4 linked regions of the Struthio camelus genome follow. The protein of the gene in region 4 binds, or shares a complex with, the protein of the main gene of each other region. Links are inferred from orthologs where the notes say so. Each region holds a gene or a part of one and is shown on either strand. Other genes may lie near its edges. The genes, in order: TUBGCP6, TUBGCP4, gamma-tubulin complex component 3 and TUBGCP5.

Region 1 (7,815 bases), about 130 Mb from region 4:
AGGAACCTGTCAAAAGAGTTCATACGCCACACGTGAAATCATACCACCGGAGAAACTTAGGCTAATGAAGAACATGTTTTGCTATCATTTGTGATCCAGTGACTCCATGTTTTAATCTGTTTTTACCTCCTATATTAAGTTTCTCTTGTAAGCATTCTTTCATCTGTTACAACTGTAGGTACAAATGTCTATACATAAAACAATGATCATCATCAAAATAATACATTTTGTTGGTATTAAGACTGAAACTTATTCCTTTTGTAAGCACGCCAACTGACCGAGAATTTCATCTCTGGACATTCAGCAATATGCAACACTCCAGTAAAATAATACTGCTCAGAATTTCTTTTCAACAAATGATTCAGGCTCCAACTCTTCAAATTTGTAAATTTTTCGTTAACTATGGTCAATTCCATTTGTTAAACCTATTCACATGCAGAAAAGCTGCACGTACCTATACCCTCAACACCGCACCCTCAAATCCTGCCCATTTCTACAGGAGTTGTACGGGCAGGGCAATATCCAGTTTTAGTAGAAGCCAACCTTGACAAGACACACCCATGTAAAACACAGCATGTTCCTCAAGAAATTTTCCAGTGCGATGGAAAGGGCACAGTGCTTACTGGAAAAGGCTCTGCCTTCCCTCACTTACAACTTACCTTGATGTGCATACATTAAATGGCATAAGGGTTTTTTCTTTTTAATGTGTCCGCCTTCAGGCTTCTATTAAGACATCAAACAACGGGAATTGCAAAAGCGACGCATGTGTTAAACAGAAGGAACAAAATAATGATTAAAAGTACAGAAACCAAAAAAAAAAAAAAACCCTACCTACACACTGAAAAACTGGAAAGGGGGGAAAAAAGAACAAATCCATTTTTCTAGTACCTAGTACTGTTATATGAGAATATAATATAGCAAAAGTAAATAGAATGGATAGCAAAAGGAAAAAAAAGATGCAGTAGAAACTGTACCCATTGAAAAGGTGTAAGGACATTGGGAAATACGGAGTTCAGTGAAAATCAGCAACTGAAACAACTGGCTTAAGATGTCATAGGGTGAGGAAATAGGACGAGGAAGGCAGTGTAATCTGAATAGCAAAACACATAAGCACTCCTGTCAGAAACGCATGCAATCAGTCTGAGCAGTAACAAACAACAATGCAAAGTTGTGATATATAAAGCAGGCAAAAACGTAAGCAAAAGATTACCAAGGTGGGGAAGGAACAGATATAGCTGATGGCTTAACTTCATATGGCCTATGGCCAGATGACTTCTTTTGCACATCGCTATAGATGACATCAAGCTTTTGTTGTCTGCCCTACATCTCTGTACCTGAAAAGCCTGTCCGGCTCTCAACAAAGAAAAGAATCCCTGTTCCAGCTTAAATTCCACCACCGTCATGTTTGGATTACACACACAAAAAGATTAACTTGTATTTAAAAAAAGTTTCAAAACAGCATATTGAAGCATGCATTCACTCTAAACCAAAAACAAACGCTATCATACTTTAATTGCAAGTCCAGACAAATCTGCACTGTCAGGCACTGGCGGTAAATCCAACTTGATGTCCATATCATACGTTCGGCTGTGCACAAGAGCACCGAAGAGCGAGACCCGTGTTTCTTTCTCAAACTTGTCACCAGCAGGATAGTTTTGTGAGAATAACCCTATAGCAGGGAGTCCCGTTCCAGGTGCAGCCTCCATTATCTGAAGTGTCTTTTGAATAGTGTCATTGAACTGACATTCTTCATTTGTGATTAGAGACTGTATATCAGCTTCAAATACACTCACATCATAATAATCATAACCCTGATATTTGACGTTTCTCCCAACATACTTGTTGTTTAGAAAATAGTCCTTTTTTTGTGGCACAAGCTGAGGAGGACCTGTTCCAGCAAGCTGTACTAAGAGATCCAAGACAGAATTAACCTCCGTAAATGGTAAGCAATCAGCTGCCTCCAGCTCTTCCACAAGACTCTCCAGCCTATCTGCTTGAGCACCTAGACCGGCAACTCTCAAGTTGAAAGACAGCATCAAAATTTTGTTTTTCACTGGAAGCCTGGAAATGTTTGACTGCAGCTTACGAGCCTCATCTTGAAAAAGGTTCATGAACAGGGCATTGTACGCAACCCGTTTCAGATTTTGCTTAGCCCTCCTCTTGCAAATCTTCCGTCTCCCCAGGTGGACCTTCCACGGCAAACCTGCCAGGTGTGCTTCACACAAATCATCAAACAGCTGCGTAATGCTCTCCATTTCAAATCCAACTGTCAGTTTGCAGCGATTACAGTTTTATGCTGGGTCTCTGGTTGAATCCGAAAACCTAGAAAACACCAGGAAAAAGAGGAGACAACTTGTGACTGCCCATGCATATGAGACCCCTGTACGTTTTAACGTAAACTGAGATGGAGATAACCCAAAACGAGAGAGACGAAAACCAGGCTAGCACACGCTGAGAATACGAGTTATAAAAATGACGCTACGGCTCTGGATCACAAGCTTATTTTACAGCCCTGCAAGCTTGCCTGCGGCCGCCTGAGGCGCCCACCCCACCCAGACCGCCGCAGAAGGCGGAGCATCGGCCTGAGCGAAGCCGGGACGCGCCCCTGAACATCCGTCCCCCGAAGCTCGACGCCTGCAGCCTTCCCCGGCAGGCCGGCTGCCGCTCCGCCTCGCCCGGCCCACAGCCGCGGGCAGCCAGGCGGACGCCGCCCTACCAGCGCGTCGGCCCGGCCCGGCCCGGCGGGGGCGGCCCGCAGCAGCCCCCCACGGAGGGGGGCAGCCGCGGGGCCCCAGCCCCTTCCACCCGCCGCACGGAGCTCCTCAGCTTCCTCCCCGCCTAGCTCCCGGCCCCTCTTACCGGAGGGGGCCCCCGGGCCTGCTGCCCACCCCGGCCGCCCCGTGCGCGTACCTGGGGCCGGCTGCGCCGCCGCCGCCGGCTGCCTGCGCGGGGCCGCGGTAGCGCGGGCGCCCGGCCGCCTCCCTCCGCCTCGGCGCGGCTGCCAGCGCCGCCACGTCACGGCAGCGCGACGGGCGGCGGCGGGAAAGGGCTGCGCCGCTGCCTGAGGCCCCTCGGCGCCGCCGCCGCCCCGCGAAACCGGCCGCTGTCCCCGGCGAAACGGATGGAGTCTCGGGCAGCGGGGAGGCGGGAGGCGGACGGGCAGGGCAGGACCCCGCCGCCGGGGGCCGTACGGATACAAAACTGAACGCGGACCGAGGGGCAGGTCGCTGTTTTTAAAGCGACGCCCCGATTTAGGTCTCGAAACCGACTGTTAGTGGGATGCTCGTTTTTACCGTTTCCACTCACGCTGTGTTCACTCACGCTACATACGCACACGCTGTTGCCTTAGAGACACCAGCCGCGTTTGCTTTATATTTGTGTCCTGAGCTGCAGAACTCAACCCTGCAGACAATTTGCTTGTCATTTGCAAAGTAATTCTGCTGAAAATATACACAGTTACTGTCCCTTAGTTCACATCTTAGAACCAACATCTTAGAAAAATATGTAATAAAAACACCACATCTGTATGTGCAAATGGGCAAGGGCAGTGGTGGTAACTACTCCAGTATAAACCGTTACTCAAGGAAGACTTTTCAGGCCACCGACTTTCTCCTTTAACGATACTGCCGAAGTTAAAACACGCAAACCCCGGGTCAGAAGGTAGTCCTTTTAATGCTGCATTTCATAACACTGCTCCCTGTTTCTGCAGAGCTTTTCCATTTCAAAATGCTTCACATAAACGTGACCTACTTAAACCTGGGCGGGGAGCAACGCTACTTTTCCCTGCTGAAGAAACGGAACCAGAAAGACACGGAGGACAGCTGAGGCCACGGAAGAAACTGCTAATAAAGGGATGTCAAATCAGGGATTTCTTGCTTCCTTGCTCAATAGATTTAGTAAACAGATAAAAGCATTAAAAAGGCTCTTTCTTGCATAGATGTTATTTTAATCTTTTCATTGCTTTATTCAGTTACATAACCTGCAATTTATATGTATGCAAAATATTCTTATCCTTTTCCTCTCTTATGTCCTGTATAGGACTGAATTTAATCTCAACCATTTAAGTAAGAAGGAAATACAAGGAAATACATACATTATTGCTGTTCACTGTTTTTCTTTCTTAACTGCGGCAACTACTTAATGAGGCAATTATTTATCAGAAAAATTAAGAGAAAAGTCCATCTTAGGAAAATGCTTTACATCAGAAGAAAGATTTCATTAGTCTGAGGGATCTGCTGTTAAGTTTAAACTCCCGTTATAAGAGTGGTAGTAGCAGCAGTGCAAGCATTTTGATGTTATGTTGAACAATTTAAAAATATTTCTGGCTATTATGATTGCCCATTTCAGATTCCTATCTTCTAGACTACTCCTGCTTTCATGCAGTCAAACTACTGCATTAAACAATCTTGACTTCACAGTCAGAAATAACCTCGGACCCAACGTGCAATGATGAAGGCACAGGAATAAGTTTTTAAAAGTCAGTCTTGCATAACTGGTACCAATACAGAATTTGCATGTACAATTCCCTAGATATAGACATGAAAATATGCATTTTACATATTTTTAAAAGATGAAACAATTGTTAATGGTTCTTGTTCTGTATACGGATCAATCATCCTTTCCTTGATGATTTAAAGAGCAAACCAAACAGCAACACATTTTCTTCTGCTGCGGCTGCGTAAAATCATTCTAAAGTGAAGTCAATTTCCCGAAATCCCATTCTTCACTAGAAAAGAACAGCAAAAAAAAAAAAAAACCAACAATTAGTCAAGCTCACACCAAAATTCCCAAACCCTTAAGAACATTTCTATCAGAATCAGACCACTGCTGTTGACCTTTTCCTCTGAAAGAAAGGAGGACATCTTATTTCAGAGAGGTATGCCCACTTTTATCATTTTTTCTTTAAGTTTACGGCATTTCGGCTAAAAAACATAAGTTATTCAATAGCGAAATATTTCTAGATAAGCATGCTTCAAAGCATGTACACCTGCTTAACCTGATTCCTATCCAAATAGACTACCTGATCCTTAACTACTTATGAATATACTTTAAGTACAAGTAATCACTATTGCGTTTCGGGTATTTCTGGAGTCAAGTTAAATACATCAAAATGTTAGCAGATTCTGAACTGTATTCAGAAAAAAAGTTAACAATCAGAGCCAGTGTACATCTGATAATGATTCTTTAAAATATTTTGGTAGTTTCATTTCAGGATAAATAATATAAAATATTGGAACAACAATACTGAAAGTTCCTTAGAGTACAGTTACTGTGTTACAGTTTAGTGCTTTTTGGCTCAAGCAGCAGAATCAAAAGCATTTAAAGTTTCATCCTGTTCCCATCAGATCAGTGAAGAACTCACACTGACTTTAATCTAGCTGTATTTTATCATCTTTCAGAAATTTACGTGTATTAGTAAGAACTAAAGATAAAAAGAGATGACTTACCTGAACACCGAAGCATCTTCCATTCCTGCTGAAGCTGCTCTCTTAGTATTTTTAATGTATGTACTTTTTCTTGGGTAGGAGGTGCACAGACTCCGAAGTCAGGTCTAGAATTACCCGCTAAGGCTGTAGCTACACTTTGCATTAGATTTATCTCTGTGTTCTATTGCAAGAGAAAAAAATACTCTAGGATCAAAACATTCTTTGTTTTAGTAATACATGAAATATTTTAAAACAAGTTTTTGTAATGAAGTTGGTAGTATTAGTAGCAAGAACGAGCAACTTCCAATTTTTCAATGAAAAGTTGCCAAAATTACGATTTTTCTGAAAAAGAATTAATTTTAATATCTTACAAAGCTTTTTTTTTTTTCTTTCCAAATAGAGAAAGAATCTCAGTTTCCCTTTTATGAAGGAAAATAAATAATCCTGGATTAAAGGTAGAAAACGTGAGAAAGGGAGGGAAGGAAAGAATGGAGCTCGTTTGCTTCATGCATCATTTATAGTGGTACATTTTGCTTCAGTTTAAATCAATGTCACTTGCTCAGAGAAATTATTTTATGAAGTATCCATAATATATGAAGATTCTTAACAACTATTTTGAAGAACACAACTCTATTTTATTTTAAATGGATGAAAGTGAATTTTCAATTATGCTAAAAAGCAAAGCAAACATTAGAAAATCTACATGGTATTAGAAAATCCTGCTACAGGGCTACTCGCATAGTACCAACATAAAACTTTGTATTTCAGTTATTTCTTCAAGGCATATGTCTAACTTCCTTGTTATCTCTGAATTTACCCTCCAGACTGTCAGTGAGTCTTTGCATTTCATACTAATTTGTAGTGTGCAAATAAACTACTTCTGTATACCGTACATCAATGTATAAATTATGTTAGCTTAGACAATTTATGTATCAGCACAGTAAATCGAATAACATTTGAGAAGACTACAGAATAAAGTATGTCAAATCCACTTAATTGGCAGCCTGATGAATGGTATGACTTTAATTGGATAGTTGCTGGAGCAGATAAGAATAAAATCGCTTATGTGAACAATTATTCACTGTTTCTCATTACAGAAGAACCAAAAGGCACAGAAACAATCAAAGGTTACTTTTTCACAGAAATACAGCGATTGTGTTACTCAGCCACGAGATGTTGCAGAGGCCAAGAGGAGAACTGAATTCTTGAACAGTTTAGACAAGATTCATGGACTATACACTCTCAGTACTTATTACACATAATGGTCTGGATACAGCCTCTGTCTTCTTAAATTTAGGAATCCCTAATCAGGTAATACCTAATCAGGTATGGAAACACTCTGCTAGGGAAAGAGCCACGAATACTTATCTTTCTGTTTCCTTCCCACGCTCTCTGTCAGAAACAGGAAGCTGGGGTAAATGGGTTCTCAGTTTATCTATTATGACAATTTTACTTAAAGATTCCTGCCATTTTAATGTAGTCATTTAGATGCCATTTACATGGAAGCTGTGTGTGATAGAGCCCAGCATGGGACAGAGACAGAGAGGAAATCTATAGAGTTTTAGGATAAACAGAACAATGTGCTGCTTTCAGCCATATTTGATGAAAAGAGACCGTATCGTTTCTTTCCCAGATGAGAGCAAGCGTTCATTTTTGAGAAAGATCTCCGAGCTGTGGAATCCCAAGTGGACAAGGAAGCTAAGCTCCAAGCTGAGGCAAATCATCAGAACAACCTCTGTTCTCTATAGACCTCTCTATAGACATAACCATTAGTTCAGGGATGGCCTTCTCAATCATGCAGATTCTCTACAGCTTAGTACGTATTTCTGTCTGATCTGGTTCTCAGGCATAGGGATGGCAACAGCTTATACTCAAGCTCTGACCCCACAGACAGAAACTTGGGCTATTTGTGCCATGAACTCAGAGGTACCCAAGACAGTGTAGATATAACCAGTATTTTCTACTGGGCAGCACGCTGCTGCTCAATTTGAATTCTGTCCCACGCACTTTAGATGATCATGGCTTAGCACCATTTCTTACCTCAATCACTGCAAGAATTCGAGACTCAGCTAATCCTCGTAGTAAACCAAAAAGCAAAGAAATCCCATTTATTCCAAGGCTCCTGTTTGGTCCAACAGCTATTACTGTTAAGTTGGCTTGATAACTATATGCTACAGGAAGAATGAATCCAAATACAGCAGAAAAGAAGTCATTTCCTTCAGCACCCTTTAGCAGAAATGGAAACAATTTAGCACAAATGTAAAGCTCAAAATTCACAGATATAAAATAGAGAAATAAGATGAACCTCAAAAAACTTGTACTTGACCTAAGAAATAGGATACTGATCTGATTTCACAACAATCTATTAAAAATGTAGCTTTATTCAATA
Region 2 (7,504 bases), on a different chromosome or scaffold from region 4:
TCCTTAGCCCTAAGAGATGCCTCACAAGTCTAGTAAGACCTTTGCAGTCCAAAGTATGGAGAAAGCGTGAATTGCTGCTGTAAACCTCTATAGATAAACAATGGGTACAGTTTGCCCTGCGTGACACTCCTACTCTGAGACATTACCTGCTTTCTAAGTAAGATAAAACACTCCAGCGCTAACTCTAGCTGCTACATAAGAATGAAATAATGTTATTGCTGCATCTACATACTTTTCAAGAGCACTGCGAACAGGAGGCAACCCCCCACAGCTGTGCTTGTGGACAGTCTCCAATATCTGACATCCATGAATCTGCAGAAAGAAAAAGTGGGCAGATTAGGTCTGTCATTTGGACACCAGTGCAGATTTTTTCCAGACACTGAAACACTACACTTTCAGCTAATAAGAACTGCCCTTGCAAGCTGTACATGGCCCTCAGAAAGGGAGATGAAACATACTCTCTGTAGCGAGCAAAAAGGCTTATGTGCAGTTCTACACCTAAGCGTCTCTCAAAAATCTCGCTTAGCAAATAGGAAGCATCTCTGGATTCTGAAAACATTAGCTTCTGCCTTTTTCTTTCAAGGGAGGTTGGGAGAAAGCAGACTCAAAAAAGAATACATTCCAACCACATTCCATGGTAATTAATGAAAATGTATGGCAATTAATTATAAAATACAAATCATCAAAGATCATAGTAATAATGAAAAAGAACAGGAAGTCTAATTCAGCGTAAATAGATTTGTGACATAAAGTTATTCAATACTCGTAGTAGTACCAGGAACAGGACACACATTACTGAAGCCAGATTCTTTCCTAACATTCAGTTCTGAGGGGAGGGCAGAGAATACTTAATCAACTTAAGAGGAATCTTGTTAAGAGAAACTAATTGCGGTTTCACTGTTACCTTCTGAGTCTTGATCTGTTCCACCACAACCATCACAGAGGGGAAGAGTAACTGGAACTGCAGAATACGGAGCAAAACGTTGAATTAGGTTGCTACGCAAGGGGAAGATAAAAACTATGCTTGGGTGAGTATAGACAGCAGCTGAGTATAATAGTTTAATCAAACCATCATCTCATCTCACTTTCCCCTCAGACAGGAACTATTCTCGTTCAGTGACTTGGAGATCTCTGGAAAGAACGTCCTCCCTCCACTGGACCAAGAGGCATGAAGTTACCATATTCCAGTAGCAGTTCAGGCTAAACAGAAGTAGTGAGGAATGTGCCAGAGTAAAAGGCAGAGGACCCAAGCTTTCTGTCAAAGTGCAAGTAATCCTCTAAGCGTGATAAAGGGACTACAGTTTCAGAGTGGTTCAAAACAAGTAAGACAGATTAACCCTTCCTTATCCCATCCATTTTCTCAAGAGACTCAAAGAGCAATTTATGGATCAGAGAATAAAAACAACCAAAGAACGCTATCTGTTAACCACCATTGACATACCTGATCCAATGAATAATTAACATGCGAGATGGAAAGATGAGGGTCAGCCAGAAACTGTAACAACAACAAAACTCTTAATAAAAGTTAACATAATGATACAGGTAAGTAAAAAAGCAGGTTTGGCTCTGTGCCGTCTACCGTTAGTTGTCACAGCTTTTCTCAGATTTTTGGGTCATCTCTCATTCTAGCCTGTAACTTACAATGAAACTATTGGTCAGTGACAGTACCCAAGATGCAACAGCTGCTAATCCACCAGGGGTTTAATTCAAAATCTTCAGAGATTTTGAAAACGTAAGTCACAATCGTCTAACAACAGTCTAATAGATAACACTGGGTTCTGAGGCAAACGGGTCACCCACTGGACTGACTAGAGGGGACTTATTACTTAGAATGAAAGGTCATTCACAATGACCCCTCACAGGAATAATTTGGAAGTTGTGCCTGAAGTGGAAAGAAAAATATCCTGTCACTTCTTTAGGTACCACCACTTCTTAATTGCAGAAGTTACAATTGCAGAAGAGAGCCTCTTCTTCCAAGTCTCTCTTTACCTCTTGCTCAAGGTCAAGCAGTGCCTGTCGATAGGGCTGCAGCACTGAATCAAGACCTGTGCAGAAGGCTCGCAAATAAATCCCATGTAATCCACTCTGGTTTTGCTGAGATGGATGATGGTCCTGAAACCAAACAATAAAATCTACATCAGCTCCTGAGTGTAGGTCTAAAGAGTAATGAAGCCTCTGAACAGAGCACTACACCAGCAGTCAAAGGTCCAAACATCCTGAAACGCACCTTAACCCACTGGAAAGCACCCAGAAAGAACAACTGTTGGGTCACAAGGAGAGCTGCTTGAGCAAAGTGGTATTCAGCCCTTCTGTAGACACACGCAAGGGCTAAGAGTAGCTATCCAAGTACAAGTAGCCACGGGTGTTTCTTTGTGATTATGCATGCCTCTCGGATCTCAGCGCCCTTTGCAGACCATGACAAAGGCTCACAGCACTCGAGGGCTGAGCTTCCCGTACAGCTCACGAACCCTGGCTACTTTGCAGCAACCACAAATTATTTGGTCCGTCTTTCAATATTCGCAGCCCTGGACCCTCCCTCGCCAGAATCAGGCGGCTTTTTCCGGGCACCGGCGCCCCCGGCAGCCGGGCCGGGCCGGGCCCCACCTGCTGCTGCACGTGGCCCGTGTACTGCTCCACGAACTCGGCGAAGCGCAGGTAGTCGGTGCCGAGGCGGCAGAGCCGGTTCAGGACGCTGGTCTCGCTGGGGTGCAGGAACGGCAGCTCCTGGGACACCTGCGGGAGAGGAGCTGTGAGGCTGGGCTGGGCCGGGCCGGGGGAGGGAGGGCGGGGGGAGGGCGGCGAGGGCCGGGCCGGGCCGGGCCGGGCCGGGCGGCCGAACCTGCAGGCCGCCGCGCTTGCTCCAGGTGAAGGCGGCCCCCGGGTACCCGCTCAGCGCCAGCAGCAGCTCGTGGATCATCCTGCCGCGCCGCCGCCAAGGCCGCCGGGAGCCGCGCGGGGGCCGCCGGGACGGAAGGGGAGGGCGCGCCTGCGCGGCAGCCCCGCCTCCTGCCGGGCGGTGCGTGGGCGGACGCGCCCGTGACAGGGCGGGAGGGCGCGTCGCCGAGGGAGGTGGCGGGAGCGGCCGGGCCGGGGGGGAGGGGCCGGGCTGGGCTGTGAGGGGGGCCGAGCCGGGCCGGGCTGGGCTGTGAGGGGGGACCGGGCCGAGCCGAGCCGAGCCGGGCCGGGCCGGGCCGGGCCGGGCCGGGCCGGGCTGTGAGGGGGGGCCGGGCCGGGCCGGGCTGGGCTGGGCTGTGAGGGGGGGCCGGGCTGAGCCGAGCCGAGCCGGGCTGGGCTGGGCTGGGCCGGGCTGGGCTGTGAGGGGGGGCCGAGCCGGGCCGGGCTGGGCTGGGCTGTGAGGGGGGACCGGGCTGAGCCGAGTCGAGCCGAGCCGAGCTGAGCCGGGCTGGGCTGGGCTGGGCCGGGCTGGGCTGTGAGGGGGGGCCGAGCCGGGCCGGGCCGGTCCTCGCCGCTGCGGGCCGCCGTGGCAGTCGGCCGAATATGGCGGTGCTCGCGATGGCAAGGGCTGACCCGCAAGCTCTCCTCCAAGATAATACAAAATCCTCAGTCCTCCAATGAGGACTTTTTTTTTTAATTTTTGGCCAATGTTTCCTTTATCGATATAAGCTTTACCTTCATAGTTACCTGTTTCCCCTTTATTTGTTATATATTGCTTTCCTTCGCTTTGTCTCTTAAACCAGATAATCTTTTGACAGAAACTGCCCTCTTTCAAAATTGTGGAGTTGCCTAATAAACTCTTCTTTAACGAACTTTTTTCATTTTCTTATTTTTGGCAGTGTCTTCTTGCGCAGTTTTTCTCATTACTTCCTCATTTAGGGAAAATTAGCGTTAAGTATAATTTATATTGCTTGGAACTGGTGTCTGTTAACTCTCCCTTTTAAAAAATGTAATTGGTTCATGATCATCGCTTTACTTGTCATTATAAGGTCTGAAATACGGGTAGCAAAACTTCTTGTGGGAATAATACATTCCTTGAGCATAACCCCATCCTTTAAAGAGTAGGATTTTCTCATTTCATCTGGCATGTGCGCATATACATTCCTATACCTATCTTTAGGCATAACTTAGGAGCCCCCAACAGTATCAGTTTCTCACGTATCAGTATAAGAAAATAACTCTGTTATGGTGACAAACCCCCGTTGTCTGACTAAAGATGAAGGTGGCTAGGCATTTGGTTTTTATCGTGGGCATAAGTAACGCAGTATACAACCGGGCTGGTAAAACTTCGTGGTGCTCCTGCCCTTAGGAAGCTGCATCTGCGGTGCAGCGTTGTCAGCCTCAGCCTTGCTTGATAAGCGGCAGTCTTTCCCCGGCTTTGGTTCAGTCCCGTGCTGCTGCCCAAAACTTCTGCACTAGCAGGTGGGATTTGATCAATGCTTAATTTACGTACAGTTTTCAAAAGATTGTAAAGCTAAGTATGCTGTGGATAGTTTATAGATAGTTTAATTCATACAGAGCATGGCGACTCACTACATTTCCCCCAAAATGGTTTGTCTGTAAATACTAAATACATCATCTAGTGGTGATTATACAGTACTATTAACGCAATGCTTGTATTTTATTTATGGAAATAGGTATTACACATGTAATCTGTTACAGAATCTTGAATCTAAACATAGCAATCTTCTACAGGCAGAAACTAAGCTTACAGTAGCATTCTTCCACAAAAAGTGATAATCATAAGAGTCTTCTATGGGACAAGGGAGGAGTATAAAATTTATCAGAGCAGAATGAACTTTCCTTTAGCAAAGGTTTAAAAAAGCCGCTAATATTTCTGCAGTGAAGCCAGTGAATTGTTGGAAGTGAATCATACTAGAGATGAGATTATAATTAACCATTAAGGCAATTTAAATAGAGATACAGTGACTTTCTTTATCACTGGAGTCCTTTGGGATGCCAAAAATTATGGGTTTGATGCACAGTGTTTGGAAAGGAACTGTGGCTAGTGTTGCAGAACAGGTCAGACTAGATGCCTCATTGTCTCTTCTTTTTACAATCTAAATCTGCAGCCCACTCCCACTCGTTTACTTGCAGCTAAACATTGTGGTCTGCTCAAGATTTTAATCCAAGCGTCTTTATAGGTAGTCCTACATGAGAACAAATATAGAGGAAGCAAAGCAGCATTACAGAGTAGATAAAAAGACACAGAGTCTGTGCTGCACACAAACGTATCCTGAGAATTGTGCAATGGGGGTGGTTTTTCATGTAACTGAGGCTTCCTTGGACGTTACAGACACTTCAAGAGAAAGTGTACCTGGTACTTGGGGGCAAGCGCACAGCTTTCCAATTCAGGAAGTCTTTTCCAGTACAAAGCTTGCTGATGTTGCGCTGCTACAGGAAGAAAGGGGAGTGTTTTATGGTGGGAGCTCAGAGTGCCGAATGGCTCGCTTGCCTCCGGAGAGTGAGGGCTCCTCTGCCAGCCCAGCAGCCTCTGGCTGCATCCCAGCTCCGTGCCACGACTGTGGGCAGTACTTGGGCTCTGGGCTTTTCTGTCATGTTGCTTCCAGGCTTCCCTGTGGAGTACTGCAGACAGTGTGCATGCGTGTGCATGAGTGTGCATGCAGGGCTGCGTCCCAGGTGGCTGCTGGGCCGTGTGAAGTGAGGTCAGGATGCAAAAGCAAGTCTGGAAACAAATAGGATGGAGGAGACCCCATATCGTGAGCCAGACTCACCTGTCTTGCCTGGCTGGTCTGGCACTGCAGAAGCAAGTGGTATGGGGCTGGCCATGTCTTCCTCCCCCAAGTGGGCAGCCACTTCCTCTGCAGCTTTCCCAGAGCCTCTTGCAAAGTTCCCTGCCACAAGGATGGGAGGGCCAGGGCTGAGGGAGTGCAGTTTTGAAACAGCACTGCGTTTTTAGACCAGGGCAACAACTTGTCTCATTTGGCCACTACGTTTCTGATCTGGTGCAGCCACAGCCTGACATATGACCATATACAAAACAGTATCATCAGATATGTGAGGGGTAGGAGTCATAGAAATATTTTCAACTGACGCAATTGTGCCTGGATTCCTGCAGGCCAGTCTGGGCCCATTAACACGGAACATGTAGCTAAACTGGGTAATTAGAGAAGACAGCAAAAATGATTAGGGATCTAAACATTGTTACAGACCTAAATAAACCTATCCCGGACAAATGAGATCTAAAGGGAAAGGTCTCAATTGTCTATGAATACTTGAAGCGCAAAGAACAGTATTAAGGAATGACTGTTACGGATGAGACGAGTCAGGAGAATGAAGGATGTTGTGTAGAGCAGCAAAAGACATCTGTTCTCTCAGCTTTCTGAGGGGTTTGTGTGTCATAGCATAAGTCATGGCTTGGAATTCTTAGTGCTAAATGAGACCTAGAGCAGATCCTACTCCATCTTCAGCTTTTACTTTGGCAGAAATGAGGACATACATGAGAAATTCTTCAGTGGAACATTGTTTGAATATGCTATTATCTCCCAATCTTTTTTGGACTAAGAGACCATGTGGTTTTTTGGAAAGGCAGGCAGGATCGTTGTATATACTATAATGTTTGGAGGGGGATACAAGAGATGAGAGATTCCCTGTTTCAGTGGCAGCCTGCAGCTAGGTTATTTTGAAGCGACTGCAGAATGGCAGCTTCAGAGTCTTCAGGTAATCTGTGTTTTTTTCCCCCCAGCACCATTCACAGAAATAATCTTTCTCGATAAAGAAAGTGGCTAGTAAATACTTGCAAAGGAACAGATAACAGTAGTTTAAATAAAGGACTGAGTTTTGCAGCTCTCGTTTCCTCAGGGAAGCCTGGTGATTAGGCAGTCAAGGCCAAATAAAGAATAATTAAATTTTGTACAGAATTGATAACTAAAACGGTGAAACTAGAGAAAAATAGGTACCTCTGTAGTGCTTTGTGAAAGGCTATCTAGCTAGCGGCTATTCAACATTAAAAAAAAAAAAAGAAGACAAGAAACAGGAGAGGCAATAAATTAAACACAAAGATACACAAACCCTAACAAACAGCAGTTAGTAGAGACAGTAACAAAGACCAGAAATCTTAGAGACAATGATCGGTGGGGCCATTACAGGAGCGATTCAAGTATAACCTTGAAGAGGTTCAGCCAGAAACTTTGAAACTGCAAATGTGTGATAATCTTGTTTTATTCTTGTCAGAATGGGTCTTATAGACAAGACCAAGTTTATGATTTTTTTTTTCACTAGGATTATGGAGATGTGCAAAAATTATTCTGGGATTTTAGGGGAACAAAACCAGTTCTGCACTCCACAGTCTATATAGAAACATTGTTTAAAATGTCTTCTCGTTGTATAACTGCAGAGTGGCCACATATGAAGTAATATAAATAAATATTAATATTAGAATTATAACTGTTACCAAACATTTTGACTAAGAGCTGAGGGGTGTCATGGTCTTACAAAATTGTTGCCATCACTTATTATTATTACTATCATCATTATAGCCCATTACTTACATTCATTAGTGTCTCTTTCAACAATACTTAATGGGAAA
Region 3 (6,972 bases), about 8.5 Mb from region 4:
CTTTTCCTGTGCTGAAAGAAAATAAGAGTTAAAAGCCTGAACAACAGGGAGGTGCTCTCCAATAGCTGCGTTGATAAGTAAAGTACATAATAGAGTTTACTGTGTCAAGAAAAGCCTTATGTTAGAAGGACGAGTCTTCAGTGTCAGGATCCCTCCTAACATGAGGATAAAGAACAGGGTAAGGATAGGTTTCCATCTCTCATATGCATAAAGATATGGGTAATAGTAAACAGGGCAGACAACCCACCTTAATTTGAGGTCATCTTTGAAGTAACAATTTGAAAGTAACCCGCAAGTGATCAGAGGCAGTAGACTACAGGTGGCATGCAGCAACTTAGTACGATTATGGGTAACTTCCTACAAGCTTCCTCTTTCATCAGTCACACACACATGGGGTGGGGGGGGAAGGAGGGAACACTTTTAGTTACATGAGTGGAAGCCTAGCATATAGGAATAAGTTCAACGCTTATTAAAAAAAATTTCATGTCCTGCTTTTTTTGCAGGCTAGTGCATGCAAGCATATATGAGCTTGCAAATAAACTTATTACAACATTCAGAACGGAGAAAAACATATAGAAATTACAGCTCCAAAAGGAAGGCTAGATTCAAAGTCAGCAGAAATAGCCAGCCTCTCCTTAACACTCATGCCACAATTGATAAATGCAGGATACTTTTCTATTTCTATTCTTCTTCTCTGTTTAAGTTTTACAAATGTCACATACCTAACTAAAATGCTCTTTACCAACACAAACTTAGATCAATTCATACTGTAGTTCCCTACGTGTCTAAAAAAAGAGTCATCAAGAAAACAGGATTCAGCAACTCAACATTGACAACATAAGAACCTAACAGATGTCTCCACTGCTCTAATAATGCAGGTCAATTTCTCCCCCCTCCTTTTTTTTTTTTTTTTTTTTTTTAAAGGTGGGGGAATTAGCACAATAATTTGAATTTTCTTGTGAAAGTTTGAAGTGCTCTTGAATATAAAAATACTGTAATTGCATTAGAAAAATATTTCCAAGTTATTTCAAAGATGAGAAACAGCTTTAAAAGTAAGGTTCCAATAGCATCTTATAATTGTATGCTGATGTGAAATACCCTTTAATATATAATTAAGCGAGCTGCTAAAATAAACATATGGCTCCATAAAAACTGCAGGAGGTATTACACAGTTTAGAAGCTAGCATTACAAGCTGAAATATCATTTTTATTTTACTCAGGAGCAATTTGTAAAAGTGATTTTTGGAATCTGCTCTCTTATCAGAGGATATAAATAGTTCCTCACTGAAATTAAGGAAAGTACTCAAATCCTGTTGAAGGGGGTTGGTTGCAAAGTACGGAATAGCCCACATAAGACCGAAAAAAAGACATACTAACAGAAAGGGAACAGGATTTTAAGGCAAAAACAAACAAAAGAAAACAGTAACCAACATCTTAAAGGATGTTTCTGTGAAAGGGTCCCTATTCAACACTCCAGCGAAGGCAAGGAGATTCCAAACTCCTCCAAGCTTCTCAGCTCTCCAATAGATAGAGTGAAAAAATATGAAATAATAAGACAACAAATATATATACCTCTGCACCTTGTTGCTCATTTTCCAGACTTCAAAGACAACAGTAATTCATTCATAGGCCACATTTCAGTCAGACTGAACTAAGTTCTTTACAATAGGTCAGTACTCAAAATTATTACTGTTACTGTCATGCAGATTTCTAAAGGTAACCCCCAGTGACTTTTGGGAAAACAGTGGCAAGAGAAAAACACAAAAAAGACTTGGCAGCTAATACGAAATGTGGCTTTCTTCCATGTTCGTACGAGAAAATGGACAGAACACAAGGCAGGTCATAAATTTCTCTGGTGAGCAATGCTTATAAACAGCATTGCTATTTTTTCCGATAGCACTTAGAAAGGAGTCATAGCAGATGCACCTCCTCCTTTCCACCCTCCAACCGCCTGCTAAAAACAGAAGCTTTGCCTTGCTTGCAACAGACAGAAATTATGCAAACACCCCGAGATTCAACCTCTCGCTAGAACATCACAGCAAAAATACAGATGATCTAGGAGGTTTCATTCAGCTGCCACAGCAGTTACCAGACTCGAGGAGGCATCCGAGGAAGATGGAGGTTTATGAAGACATACATAAGCCACCCCTTGCTCCAGCCACCCAAGCAGCAGTGCCCCACTCCACAGCAGAGGGGAGCGCTGCCGGGGGAGGACACGGAGGTGTGACAAGCCCACCTCCCTGCCGCAGAGCGCCCAAGCAGCCCACAGCTCAGGCTTGGCGCGACCGCCCCCCATCCCCAGCCGGCGGCAGGGCCTCCCGGAGCCGCTCTCTCGGGCCGCCAGCGCGGAGCCGCCCGCCCGCCGGCGGGCGGGGGTCAGGCTGGGGATACGTACACGCTGCCCGCCGCGGGGGAAGGCCCTCGCCAGCCCGCTCGGCCAGGGCCGCCGCCTCCCTACCGCCAGGGCAGCGCGACCCTCCCCCGCCGCCTCGCCCGGCCGTTGCCGCCTCGCCCCGCTCCGCGCGCGCGGGGATGGGGGGCGGGGGGGGGAGGAAGGCTGCTCCGCGACCCAACGGCCGCCAAGGGGGGCGCGGCGGGGGGAGGGGGGGCCGTTACCTTCGCTCTTGCCCAGGATGCGGCAGCAGAGGTTCTGCAGCAAGACGTTGGGCGACTTCTGGTCCGGACTCGCCATCCTCGCCCGGGGGAGGGAGGCGGCGGGGAGGGAAGAGGAGAAGGAGGCAGGGGCGGGAGCGAGGAGAGACGCGGCGGGATAACAGGGGAGGGACAGGAGAAGAGGCTCCTCTCCTCTAACCGGCGCGCGACCCCGACGACACCTCCGATCACCCGGCCGTTACCTAAGGCGCCATTTTAACAGAACCCGCCGAAAGCCGCAGCGGCGGCAGCCGAGCGCCCACAATGCCCCTGCGCGCCGGGCGGCACCGGAGCGCGCCTCGCCGAACACGCTCCCCCGCGCCGCCCGCAGCCGCAGCGCCGAGGTTCCGGGCGCGCGCTCGGCCCCCGGCCCCCCTTGGGTCCGCCTGCCCCGGCGGTGCCGCCCTGGCCGTGGCCGTGGCCGTGGCCAAGCCACCCCCGGAGGCGTGCAGCGCAAGCCAACCCCGGCCGAAGGTGCCCCAAACACTGAAAATTCCCACCCTGCGACCACTTTCCACTTGTTGAAACTGTCCTTTCATCCCCCTCCCCAAACCGAAAGAGATCAAATCCTCTCGTTTCTGCCCCCAGAAGAGCAAGTCGCTCACGGCCTTGCTATCACGCTATAATTTACAGTGAAGTATAATTGACATTAACTTACTTTTTTTTTTTTTAAGCCTGGAAAAATATCAATGCATGTTGATAACCTTTCCACATAAAATTGTTACAAATCAATGCAGATCTGCAAAATACTTCAATATCTCAAATCGACATCTTCTCTACATTGCGCTGCCTTGTGGATGTGCAGCCCATGCATCCCGCTGAGGTCCCCAGTCTCCTGCTGTTGTGGTTGGCGTTGGAGAGTAAAGCGGTACCCCTGAGGTGTTTGCCACTCCTGAAGGATGAGATACCTGTCATCTGCCAACTATGCTGAAATCACTAAAGAAATCTCAATGTAAAAAGTACAATGTTTTTATTTTATGAAAACTTACAGCTTGGCAAATTGGTTACTATCATTTGGACACAGAGCTTATCATCAAACAATAACGTAACTTTTGTAATCAGGGGTGTGCTTCAGGCATTTTCCAGTCAGCAGGTTGCCTTATCAAGCTAGCTCTTGGGCTGTTTCAGGCAACATGCTCTTAACTGGGATCCAGACCTTTGACAAACCTGCTCCTCAAGTTTATCACTTCCCTGAAAGAGATACTGACTTTTGAGGATGCCTCTCCTTCATTTCTCGTATTCAGTCAATTCACGCTAGGTCCAGCTCAAATTCTATCACTAGGGAATAATTATTATCCCTGTGCTGCTGGAGCTCAGTATAACCCAGCTCCCTCTTGTCTAGTAAAGGTGCTTCAAAATGCCGCAGCAGCCAGGTGGACGTAGCGCTTTGCTGGCTGTAAACAATTCCTGCTATGCAAACTTCTTTCTGACAGCCCGTATTGGCACCCAGCTACTTCATCTCTGAGTAGCCATGACTTTATGTGTATGCCTTTTATGAACATATAACTTCAGACCTTCCTTTATGGAAACATTATGGATGCAAACAATGAACTCGACTCCTTGCTGCCTCATTACCAGCATTACTAGTAGAAAGTAATCATGACGGCAAGCCAAGAACTAAAATTGCTTGAGGATATCTGGGTTTCGGTTATTTGGGATATTGTAGCAGGAATATTGTAATCTTACCATTCACATTATGACTCTTTCAATCCTAGTGATGCTTTCTTTAGACTCTCAAATTAACGTTCAGACAACTCAGCATTAATAAAGTTATCAGAATTTGACCCTATGTGAAAAAGGGGTTTGTAAGCTGATTCTGAAAGGCTTCAGAGACTGTGGGTTTTTTCCTACCAAGTAGCGGAACAATCTCTGTTCCTTTCTCTACCCAAAGGAAACGCGTCGGTTCTACAAAGAGTAGGTGAGTCATTACTGCTGACTGTCACTTCACATTTGAATTTCATCCTGGAGGCATTCATTTATCAAGCAGTATATACGGAGTATATATACTCACATAGAAAAAAAAAGTTGTGGCAATAATATCAGGAAGTTGTGCTGCTATACAAAATCTTCAGATTCCAAGGAAATCCAGTCCCTGACAAATATCCTGTTACTGCTTTTAAATGGATGTATTAAACCTAATACTTCTGCTCATGCTGGTCGTTTTACCCATGGCAATTGCGTCTGCTCTAAAATTAGAACACATTATGGAACAGCACAATATGGAGCATGCTATTAAAGTGGGCCTACTTATGTGTGTCTGCAAGCAAAAGTACAATGACTAATTTAAGTTTTTCAGCCTCAGCAAATCTGCATCCTACGTAATGCTTCTCAAATACTGTAATAGCAGTCAATTCTGTTAGATTATTGGGAACATATTTTTCATTTTTAGCCCATTGTGGCTAAGGTGACGAGGCTTATACAGTTGTTCTGTGCATCAGCACGTTCTCATAACTGTTGGATCCGTTGCCAGTTAAAGATATTAATAAACATTTTATAGAGTTCTGTGGTTAAGAGAGTACCAAGATCCAAGTTAGTGCCCTCATGAAAAGAAAGGTAAGGAGAACTTAGTTCTTCCTATTCTGTTTGCTATTATCAAATTAGCTGATTGGTGCGCACATCATGGGCAGCACATACCTAGCTCTGAACCAGCCAATGCACCAGCTGCTTCTTGTCCAGCCAGACAGATAGAAGACTCAGGAAGTGAAGGTATAAGAGACAAAGAGCTCTGGAAATAATGTTAAAAGTAGCTAGAAGGAGGCAGGAGGAATGCAAGTTCCCAGGAAATACAAGAAACAAAGCTTCCTTAGTTCTACTGATGTGACTTGATTTCAGATGGATGTTTTCCCTGTGCAAAAGCAAGGCTCAGATGAAAAGAAAATTTGATCCAGTTTAACCCTCTTGAGTATTAGTTCTGCCTTATAGCCTGCATGTTATAACTTCAACAATATTGCTACCCCCTCTCTGTTTTCAAAACTCTTCATTTAGGATTTTCTTAAGTTGACTGAGGAGCCTGAAATGTGTTCCATGTATACATATATATGCCATATACCTACAGAAAGTCTATTGAATTCACATAAACACCTAGAATGAAGCCTGTGTTTTAAAATACTTAGGAGACACCAGAGACTATGATATAAGCTATATAAAGGCAAAATTAAGGACAACTTTTTTTTTTTTTAATTTTGGAACTCTTTTTTCACTATTTACAATAAAATAACAATTTTAGATGACTATTACTAGCTATCATATAAGCCAGAAATAGTACCAATATTTTGCTTCTCAGTGCAGTTGAGTGTCTTCTGGTGGTGACTCCTGATAGGTCTTGTGTTTATTTATCCAGCACTACTTAGCCATAAACAGAGTTCCCTTCTAACATGAAGCTATACAGACACACACACACACACTGAAGCCCACTCAATACTGAGTATTATTGATTACATAGAAGTGGACAGCATTATGTATCATTCTAATGAACAGTATAACTGCAGCCAGCAAAACGGCATTCCAGCAAGCTCAATAAAACTACTCCTTGGCATTTTCCTGTGCTGCCCGTGGTCATATTACATATATGGAGCTGCAAGAAAAATTTACATGAAATCATCTTCCATCATAAAGTGATTCTGTGAATAACACTTCTGTTTTGTCAAAATCTAAAAAATGTTTTTGAAATACTTCATTTTTAGAAGTTAAAGGTACTCTGTGACAACTATTTTATTTTTAAAAAGGCAGAACAATAATTTTGGAGCCTGGAGAGCGAAGCTCTGTAATAAGACTGAGATCATATTTCCAAATATATATTTAATTTTGTATAAAACATCAGCTGTTCAATATGAGTTTTGAACGTATCTGGCTCCAATATTTTATGGAAAAAGCTTTCGTTCTTTCTCAGACGTAGACAAAGGGAGGAAACTTTCAAAGTAAGACTCTGAATACAAAAATGCTATGTAGCAGAACAATCATAAAATATGTAACAATGTATTTGCAATGAGATATTTCTATAAATGTGATAGTACTACTAGGCAAAAATAACTCATCAAATATAGCATAAGTCAATAACAAAGCTCCGTGAAGGATTGCAGTACTTTGCAAGAAGGACTCACGAGGCCATTGGACTTTTTAAGATCAAACTGTTTTTTGGAGCTAATTTTACTGTAAAGTAACAGCGTCAGAGATAGATAGTTTTTGCATTTTATTATCCTTACTTTGTTTACACATTTCCCTGCTGCCTATTTCTCAGGCCAATAGCAACTCTTGCATTTGCCAGGACTGAAAGCCTCAAGGTCAAGTTGTGGGTCCTCCTCATATCACAGAGGAGAAAAG
Region 4 (6,820 bases):
AGTTAACCAGAGTGAGGAGCTCAAGAACATGTTTGTCAGGGATCCATGTTGAAGGCAGAAAAATCACCTGGGACTGGCATCACAAGCACAGGGAAAATATCTGCATCGAAAGGCCTCTAAAACCAAATGAAAATGCTTTGAAAATAGTAAAGGAGAGTGCCAGAAAGAACAACAAAAGAGAGCCCAAGTAAAATAACGAAGGATGAACTACAGAAAGTAGCACATGTTAGGACTGATGAAAAGTAAGTTAGACTTTACAAAGGAAATTAGAATAGGAAAAAGGCTCTTCAGTTATACATGGAGAAAAACCTGGAAACGTGATATGACAGCAATCTGAATTAGATCAAGATTCAAGATTCTCCATATGTAGCCCTCAAAGTCAACTGAGCATTTTGCCTCAGCTTCCAGTAACAACTGCATATAATTGCTATCACCTTGTTCTACGAGCAACAGATGAAAAAGAAAACTACTGCATCTGAACAGGGAGCAAAAGCTAAGTTTAATGGACTAAATTTGGAGAGGCAATCATCTCAGTGTCAAAGAAATGAACTAGAAAATGACACTGCAAGCCAAGTAGCAAGGATTTTTAATAAGCTTCACTGGAGGATAGAGACATGCCTGTATTTAAGAAATAGAAAAACAACTTGGTTAACTACTACCCCTTTAGTCTGACTTCAGCTGCGTGTAAGGCTTTGGAATAAATGTTGGAAAGAATAACTAAGAGATTAAAGTAAATGGAAAGCACAATAAAATGTGACATTAACTGGGTAGCTGATATTGAAGCTAAGAAAATACAGCGTATCGCATCTGTTTCAGCACATTAGCTTACACAGGAAATCATTAGCTCAACTGGAAAATGGTGATAAGTACAAGAGCTGGAAGATATATAAAAATAGACCAGAAAGATGACCAAAGGAAAGCTGCATTGAAAGGGAAAACCATTAAGCTAAAGGGAAGTTATTAGTAACTTTAGCCTAGTATTGTTTAACACTTTAACTAATGACTCTAACACAAAAAAAAAAGTATTTCAATTTTTTTTAGGCAAGGTCAGAGAATCATCAATAGAAAAGGACTAATATACTGCATGGAAAGAATTAGATGAATCTGAGAACCACAGTATAGAAATGTCACTGAATCTAATAATACAAATCACACGTTTCACAAACTCGAAACGAAAAAGAATTTATACTGTTATCTAAGGGTGCATGAGTTGGAAACACGAGATTTCTGGCTGAAGTTCTTGGTTTTTTGGACAGCAATACCAGCACAAACACGTTCCTCTTCCCAATATTCCCACTCCAAACTGTTTGTTGTCAACCCTTCATTGTCCCCTCTGTTTTCCCTGCCAGGTTGTTTTTCAAAAAATAACCCACCACTTCCCCAATTGGAAAGACCACATAGCAACACAAGCAACTGTGTCACTGAAACAGAGGGAGAAGCGTAAAGTTAGGTGACAGACGATGGCTTATTTAATCAAGCTCAAGAAACCCTGCCACCATTACAAAACTGCAGACTCAGGATAACTACTACTACAAGCAACTATTCTGATGCATCTACAAACCCAGCAAATATAATTCTATGATGCATTAAATCAAAATATGTCTGGTAAATACAAGAAATACAGTGAGACAGCAGCTGCAATACCATATTCCTACTTTCCCAATGAACACCACTAGCCTCCCTCAATATTTAGCCAAGTGTTGAACTTGTCAAAATGCCAGCTATGGGTGACACTCAGCTCTGTCACATCGCAGACTCACACCAGCCACTGACCAACGCATATTTATTTATCGTTTTACGTAAAGTAGTCTTATTTGAGTCTATAATAGGTATAGGTTTCACAATCCTACTCAGTGCTGCAATGCAGTAAATGTCGCTGCTCACCTAAAAACCGCATTAAAGCGGCATGAGACATGAAAATACCATTGATGTTAATTCGATGAGCATGAAGTCAAGCAACTACATAAGGCTCTGTAGAGGCAGCAATTAACTGACAGTAAGGGGAATGGGAAACAGTTTATGCGAAAACTGCCAGCAGATGCTTGGTACAATAATTACAATAACTGAAAAAAACAGTGTGTGCAAGCTCAAGAAGAACATTTCAGATAGTGTAACGTATGGTAACTGTATCCCTTTAATTTTATTACTGGCTAACGGTGACTGTAGTTATGGTAAGCTTAAATGCCATCAAACAGATCTGTCTTTGCAGACTGATATCCTTCAAAAGCAGTATTCTTGGCCAGGCGCTATATCTCGATTTGGTGGAGTTCTGTTTATTTGCTCTTAGGCATAACGACTATTCCTTTATTTTCTGTTCGACAGACATGAGTTTTTGGACGGCTCGGTGAGAATGCTAAAAAGGCCCCTTTTTAAGTATCGAGAGAAAAACCCTGACAGACTGGGACTGAAAAGTGCCGGAGCAATAGGCAGCGACCCTCCGATAAGGGCTTGCAAGCGGTCTCCAGTGCCATCCTGGACACCCGTTAAGGCAGCCACGGCCGGGCACTGCCGCAGCGCAGCGGCCACCAAACACCCTCCCCGCTGCCAGGCGACAGCGGAGCCCAGGCAGGCCGCACCCGACCGCCCCGCTACGAGAGGCGCCGGGCCCCAGAGCCGCTCCTTCCCTCCTGGGCGGCAGCGGGCAGAGGCCGGCGCGGGGCAAGGGCCGGGCGCAGCCACAACGGCCGGTGCGCCGGGGAGGGGGGCGGGGAGGGCCGCAGGGGCTCTCGCAGCGGCGGGCGCTGACCTGAAGTTGGACCAAGCGAAATTCAGCGCCATCTGGAACCGGCCGCCGCCGAGCTCCTCCTCCGGCAGGCCGGTCACGCGGCGCACCAGCGCGCGGACGTCCCGCTCCTGCTCCTGCTCGAAGCGGCTCCGCGGTCCCGGCACCGCCATGGCAGCGCCGCTGGGGCAGCGGCCCAGCGGGGGGCGCGCTAGAGCCGCCGGCGCGCGCGCAGCCGCCCGCCGCCCCGCGCGCGCCGCTTCCTAACGGCCTCTCGCGAGACCCTGCCCCGGCCCGCCGTGGTCAGGGCGGGCGGGCGCGCATGCGCGCGGCGGGAAGAGGCGAGGGCGGGGAGAAGCCGTTTGTAGTCACGTGAGCGGGGCGGCGCGAGCCCTGCCGTTGGCTGGTGCCCGGTGGCGGGCTGCGGCTGAGGGGCAGCGCGGGGGCGGGGCGGGTTGCCGGGGGGGGGGGGGGGCTGCAGGTGTCGGGGCTGGCAGTGGCCGTGCAGCCCTACCGCTGCGGCCCTTCGAGGAAGCGTCGGTTGTGTCAGAAGCGCTGCCACAGAGGTGCGATCGCTCAGGATGTCACAGCCCAGAAGAGTGGTTCGCTCCTCTGTGGTAACTCAGATGAGGCTCGACGTTGCCCAGTTCCCTCCAGCAGACCAAAGTGTCTTGATAGCGAGGAGGATCTGCTGTCAGTCCGGGGAAGGCGCTCTGTTTTTCAACATTTTTCTTAGAGATCCGGGCTTTTTGCAGCACCATCCACCCTGCTATGTAGTGCATCTCACCTTCTTGTTAAGACCATCCCACACAAAGCAGCTGTGCTGCTACTAAGCTATTCTGGAGCAGTTGGGTGTGCTCCTCCCTGGCTAAACCTCGACTTTTGCTCAGTGGAATAAATAATCTTTGGTGGACATTTTGTAAGAGGTACGTGACTTGTATACATGATGATGAGTAAGAAACCAGTTCAGTTTTGTCCTCTATGTCAAATGTACACAGGACACTGAGCAACTTCCAATGCTTCTGTTGCTTAATGTGGTTTTATAGTGTAGCAGTAACAGTGTCCTGACCGTGACCGTCCTAGGAAGAAATTAATCAAATTAGTAGAAAATATCCTTACTGTCGATAGATAACAGTCCCTGCTCTGCTGCAGTTGTCATAGCCTTTCCTTATTTTTAGGCTTTGTCTTGCTAATTTGATTTTACCAAAAAATACTGAATTGTATTCCCCTCCCAAATAGTCTTTTATTCCTCTTCACTATAAAAATGTTTATATCGGCACAGCTGAGGAAGCAGCCAATGGATCAGACTGAGCGGTAGAAACAAAGGCCAGAGAAAGAAATTTTCTTTTTGAGTCCGTTCTAAATTGAGATAGATTTAAGTTACTCTTACCCTTCCACGTGTCCTTACTCACTGGACAGTGCAACAGTGGGATGAGAGGCTGGAAAGGCAGAGGGACAAGGACAGTTTAAATCCATACAGGAATCAGGAGATAATGTCTGAAAATGTGGAGTCAGGCTGTTCAGAAAGTATTTTTTAGACTTAAATCCGAATTCCACTGTATAGTGAACAAATTTGAATGGTTTCCAACTACTTTTGAAGAGTAATACATAATTTTTTGGGAAAGCAAATGTTTTATTGCATACAGTTTTATTCCATACGGTTCAACAAATGAACTCCAGGCAAAAAAACAAACAAAACCCGAAACCTAAAAGCTTTTTTGAAAGAAGTTACCCGAAAGAAAAGGATTTTAAAACGTATTACATTTACCAACATTATGTAAAAAATATGTAAAAGTACAGTAGTAGTAATGATTTTATAATCCTAACAGTAATAATATTGAAATTCTTGTAAATTGTAATAGATTAAGGAACACGAATACGCTTTCATACTGCTAGGCTGAATCATACCTTAAGCTTCATGTATGAAACTGCAAGGAAGTGATGGTCTCAGTGCACGTGCAGGTGGGAAACTTAGCATGAACATAAGCTCAGAGGGGCACTGCTTCAGGGGTGTTACTAAGCCTTTACTAAGCGTTCAGAGAAAAGATCTGTAAAACTTTATTAGTATTCCTATATTTCCAATGCTCTCTGTATCCATTCTTTACTTTGGATTAGAAACAGTCTTTTTACTGTATATTTGAACAGTGTTTGGCCAAATAAAGTTTTGGGTCATGACCTGTTGCCTTAGGTGTTAACGAAAGTTGTACGCGGTAATCGCTCCGATGGTATATGCCATAGTAATCAATACTTGGAATGCTACGAATCGCGCTTAAACAAAGTTATTAGATACTAAAGCTTCAGGTGCTCTTTGAACAATGATACTGCATTTTTTAGCCTATCACTTCTGTATACTTCAGCGTACGCGTGCCATCACTTTGATTGCTGTTCAGAGAGCAAGTTCCAGGCTTTGTAGCATGATGGTAGGATGTGTGTGTCATCTGAGCCCCTCATGGTATGAGAAGCATTGCAGCCACACGTATCAGAACCCCCATCAGAAAAAAAAAGAGGAGGGGGGGGGAGATTTTCCCAGCAGGAAGGATTCCAGGTCTTAATAGTTGTCCTGTGGCAAGCTGAGTTCCATGAAACACAGTCTGTAATGACGATGCTCTCTGAAAGATTTCCTGCTTCCCGGCTCTATCCAAGTCCTTTTCCCCCTCACAGCCACACCCTCAATTGTGCTGTTTGCGAAGCCACACAATGAACTGAATCAGGGAACTGATTCGGGTTTAAAATAATCTTTTTTTCTGTTTTGCAAGGTATTTTATTCCAGATCAGTTCACTGATCCATTTTATTGGGGGTTTCAAGAGGTGAGGAAAGAACCCCATACGCTAAAGCCTAAAGGAAAGAGCAGTATCAGTGGCCGGTGAATCAGAAATCTCTGGCCGATTTTCAAAACAGAATACAGGGATTGGGACAAATGCCTGACATCTGTGGTCCCTGCCTCTTGAAAGGCTTTAACTCTACTAATCAGTTTTTTCATCATAAGCCTTATTTTACCTTTGTTTTCCCCAGTAGCAAGGCAGGGTATTTTATTTCAATACAAAAGTTAGTCGACATCAGTTTTAAAGAGAGAGTACCTCCCGGATGAAAAGAAAAACCAATAAAATTGTGGACATTTGGATAAAAATACAGAACAATATAACACAGCAGTAATTCCACAGTCTTTCCTTTTCCTCCCGCTGCCATAGTTCTTCCTGTCTCCAGCCTAGTACTCAGCAGTTTTGTCTTCTTCCTAATCACAGTCCTGCTTCTCAGACTTTCAGTATACTTTCTGTAGTCCAGATATGTACCACTGCTGTCAGCATTTCTGTGTGTCTGAAAGAAAGAGACAGCACCACAGACCTGAAGAATGGAGATTTGAGACCCAGGCTAGAAGTTGAAATGGAGATGCTTGAAGTTGAGGAGAAGCGGCCAAGTCAGAGCTGAGAGAGGGAGCTCTGGGCAGGGGATGGACACAAAGGCTGGAGCTGACAAAAATCGTAACCACTGATAAATATTCTTTATCTGACAAAGAAATAGATTTAAACTATTAATTTTTTAGCAAAACTGCATTTTAATGCTACGGAGCTCAATATCTTTCCTTATATTCCTTGCCGTTTTTTTGTGGCAACTGTCACTTCCCACCCAGCTGTCCTTCCAGGTCACACTGCTATGAACTAGATGTATCTCAGCAAAGTGTTTCCTTGGTCACAGAATTAGGTCATATGTAGAACACGTGTGTATAATGTCATGTAAATGTTTAGATGCAGTCCCATATTGAAGGAGGAATTACAGGACAAGGCTTTTGCTGAGCAGTGCGTTTTTCAGTGAGATTGCTCTAAGTATGCTGTCTCCAATCTCCCTCCTGTTTCCCAGCTTCATTTGACAAGACAATTTGACAAGTAGGATTCCGGAGTAGGAGAAGGAATATATGAGATGAAATATATAAGATGGAGGCCTGGTTACCATGAACCTTTACACAAGTCGGCTACGTGAGGTTCACACTTAATGCGTGAAACAAGCCAGATCTTCCATCACTTTCATTAGTCACCTCTGCTGCCAGCACAGCACAGGATAAATTCTGCAGGACTGATGGAACATACATTTAAAATAGTATG

The links.
Region 1: the proteins of TUBGCP5 (region 4) and TUBGCP6 are in contact, whole or in part, in a cryo-EM structure (PDB 7QJE), measured with the Homo sapiens proteins. The link is inferred for Struthio camelus from reciprocal best matches to the Homo sapiens genes TUBGCP5 and TUBGCP6. Residues at the interface, in NP_443135.3 of Homo sapiens: Asp211, Asp212, Arg213, Trp215, Leu216, His219, Val220, Val221, His222, Trp225, Ser230, Phe232, Pro233, His234, Leu238, His239, Ser240, Asn241, Leu242, Leu264, Val265, Thr266, Glu267, Thr268, Gln269, Arg272, Val302, Thr303, His304, Leu305; in NP_065194.3 of Homo sapiens: Glu290, Ala291, Ser292, Lys293, Arg294, Arg295, Cys296, Trp297, Glu298, Arg299, Val300, Gly301, Cys302, Pro303, Pro304, His306, Arg307, Glu308, Glu309, Pro310, Tyr311, Leu312, Glu314, Lys322, Arg325, Leu326.
Region 2: the proteins of TUBGCP5 (region 4) and TUBGCP4 are in contact, whole or in part, in a cryo-EM structure (PDB 9I8M), measured with the Xenopus laevis proteins. The link is inferred for Struthio camelus from reciprocal best matches to the Homo sapiens genes TUBGCP5 and TUBGCP4. Residues at the interface, in XP_018102626.1 of Xenopus laevis: His233, Leu234, His235, Leu238, Ile241, Trp242, His245, His300, Met301, Thr302, Asn304, Cys305, Ser308, Val309, Gln312, Ala392, Ile393, Leu395, Asp396, Lys397, Arg410, Leu441, Asp442, Tyr443, Asp444, Asn445, Val446, Gly447, Glu448, Ala449; in XP_018110859.1 of Xenopus laevis: Met1, Ile2, His3, Glu4, Leu7, Tyr12, Pro13, Gly14, Ser15, Ile16, Gln29, Pro32, Phe33, Glu60, Thr63, Gly64, Ile84, Arg87, Ala88, Arg91, Arg101, Leu105, Gln109, Leu112, Pro115, His116, Leu117, Val178, Gly181, Val182.
Region 3: TUBGCP5 (region 4) and gamma-tubulin complex component 3 share a complex: the UniProt entries of both Homo sapiens proteins name them as parts of the gamma-tubulin ring complex. The link is inferred for Struthio camelus from reciprocal best matches to the Homo sapiens genes TUBGCP5 and TUBGCP3.

Annotation. Positions count from the first base shown.
Region 1 is NC_090942.1:22,790,445-22,798,259, forward strand, and holds the start of TUBGCP6 (gamma-tubulin complex component 6), read right to left. Parts: upstream 3,010-7,815; 5' UTR 2,911-3,009; exon of another isoform or gene 2,860-2,910; intron 2,323-2,859; 5' UTR 2,256-2,322; coding exon 1,509-2,255; intron 742-1,508; exon of another isoform or gene 672-741; coding exon of another isoform or gene 660-671; intron 7-659; coding exon 1-6. Other genes in the region: polyamine deacetylase HDAC10, read right to left, coding at 4,701-4,726, 5,448-5,607, 7,467-7,652. UniProt on the Homo sapiens protein: Component of the gamma-tubulin ring complex (gTuRC) which mediates microtubule nucleation.
Region 2 is NC_090953.1:213,771-221,274, reverse strand, and holds the start of TUBGCP4 (gamma-tubulin complex component 4), read right to left. Parts: upstream 3,003-7,504; 5' UTR 2,918-3,002; coding exon 2,840-2,917; intron 2,734-2,839; coding exon 2,605-2,733; intron 2,113-2,604; coding exon 1,990-2,112; intron 1,496-1,989; coding exon 1,442-1,495; intron 962-1,441; coding exon 905-961; intron 313-904; coding exon 233-312; intron 1-232. UniProt on the Homo sapiens protein: Component of the gamma-tubulin ring complex (gTuRC) which mediates microtubule nucleation.
Region 3 is NC_090942.1:157,251,720-157,258,691, reverse strand, and holds the start of gamma-tubulin complex component 3, read right to left. Parts: upstream 3,004-6,972; 5' UTR 2,693-3,003; coding exon 2,617-2,692; intron 1-2,616. UniProt on the Homo sapiens protein: Component of the gamma-tubulin ring complex (gTuRC) which mediates microtubule nucleation.
Region 4 is NC_090942.1:148,792,344-148,799,163, reverse strand, and holds the start of TUBGCP5 (gamma-tubulin complex component 5), read right to left. Parts: upstream 3,014-6,820; 5' UTR 2,896-3,013; coding exon 2,747-2,895; intron 1-2,746. UniProt on the Homo sapiens protein: Component of the gamma-tubulin ring complex (gTuRC) which mediates microtubule nucleation.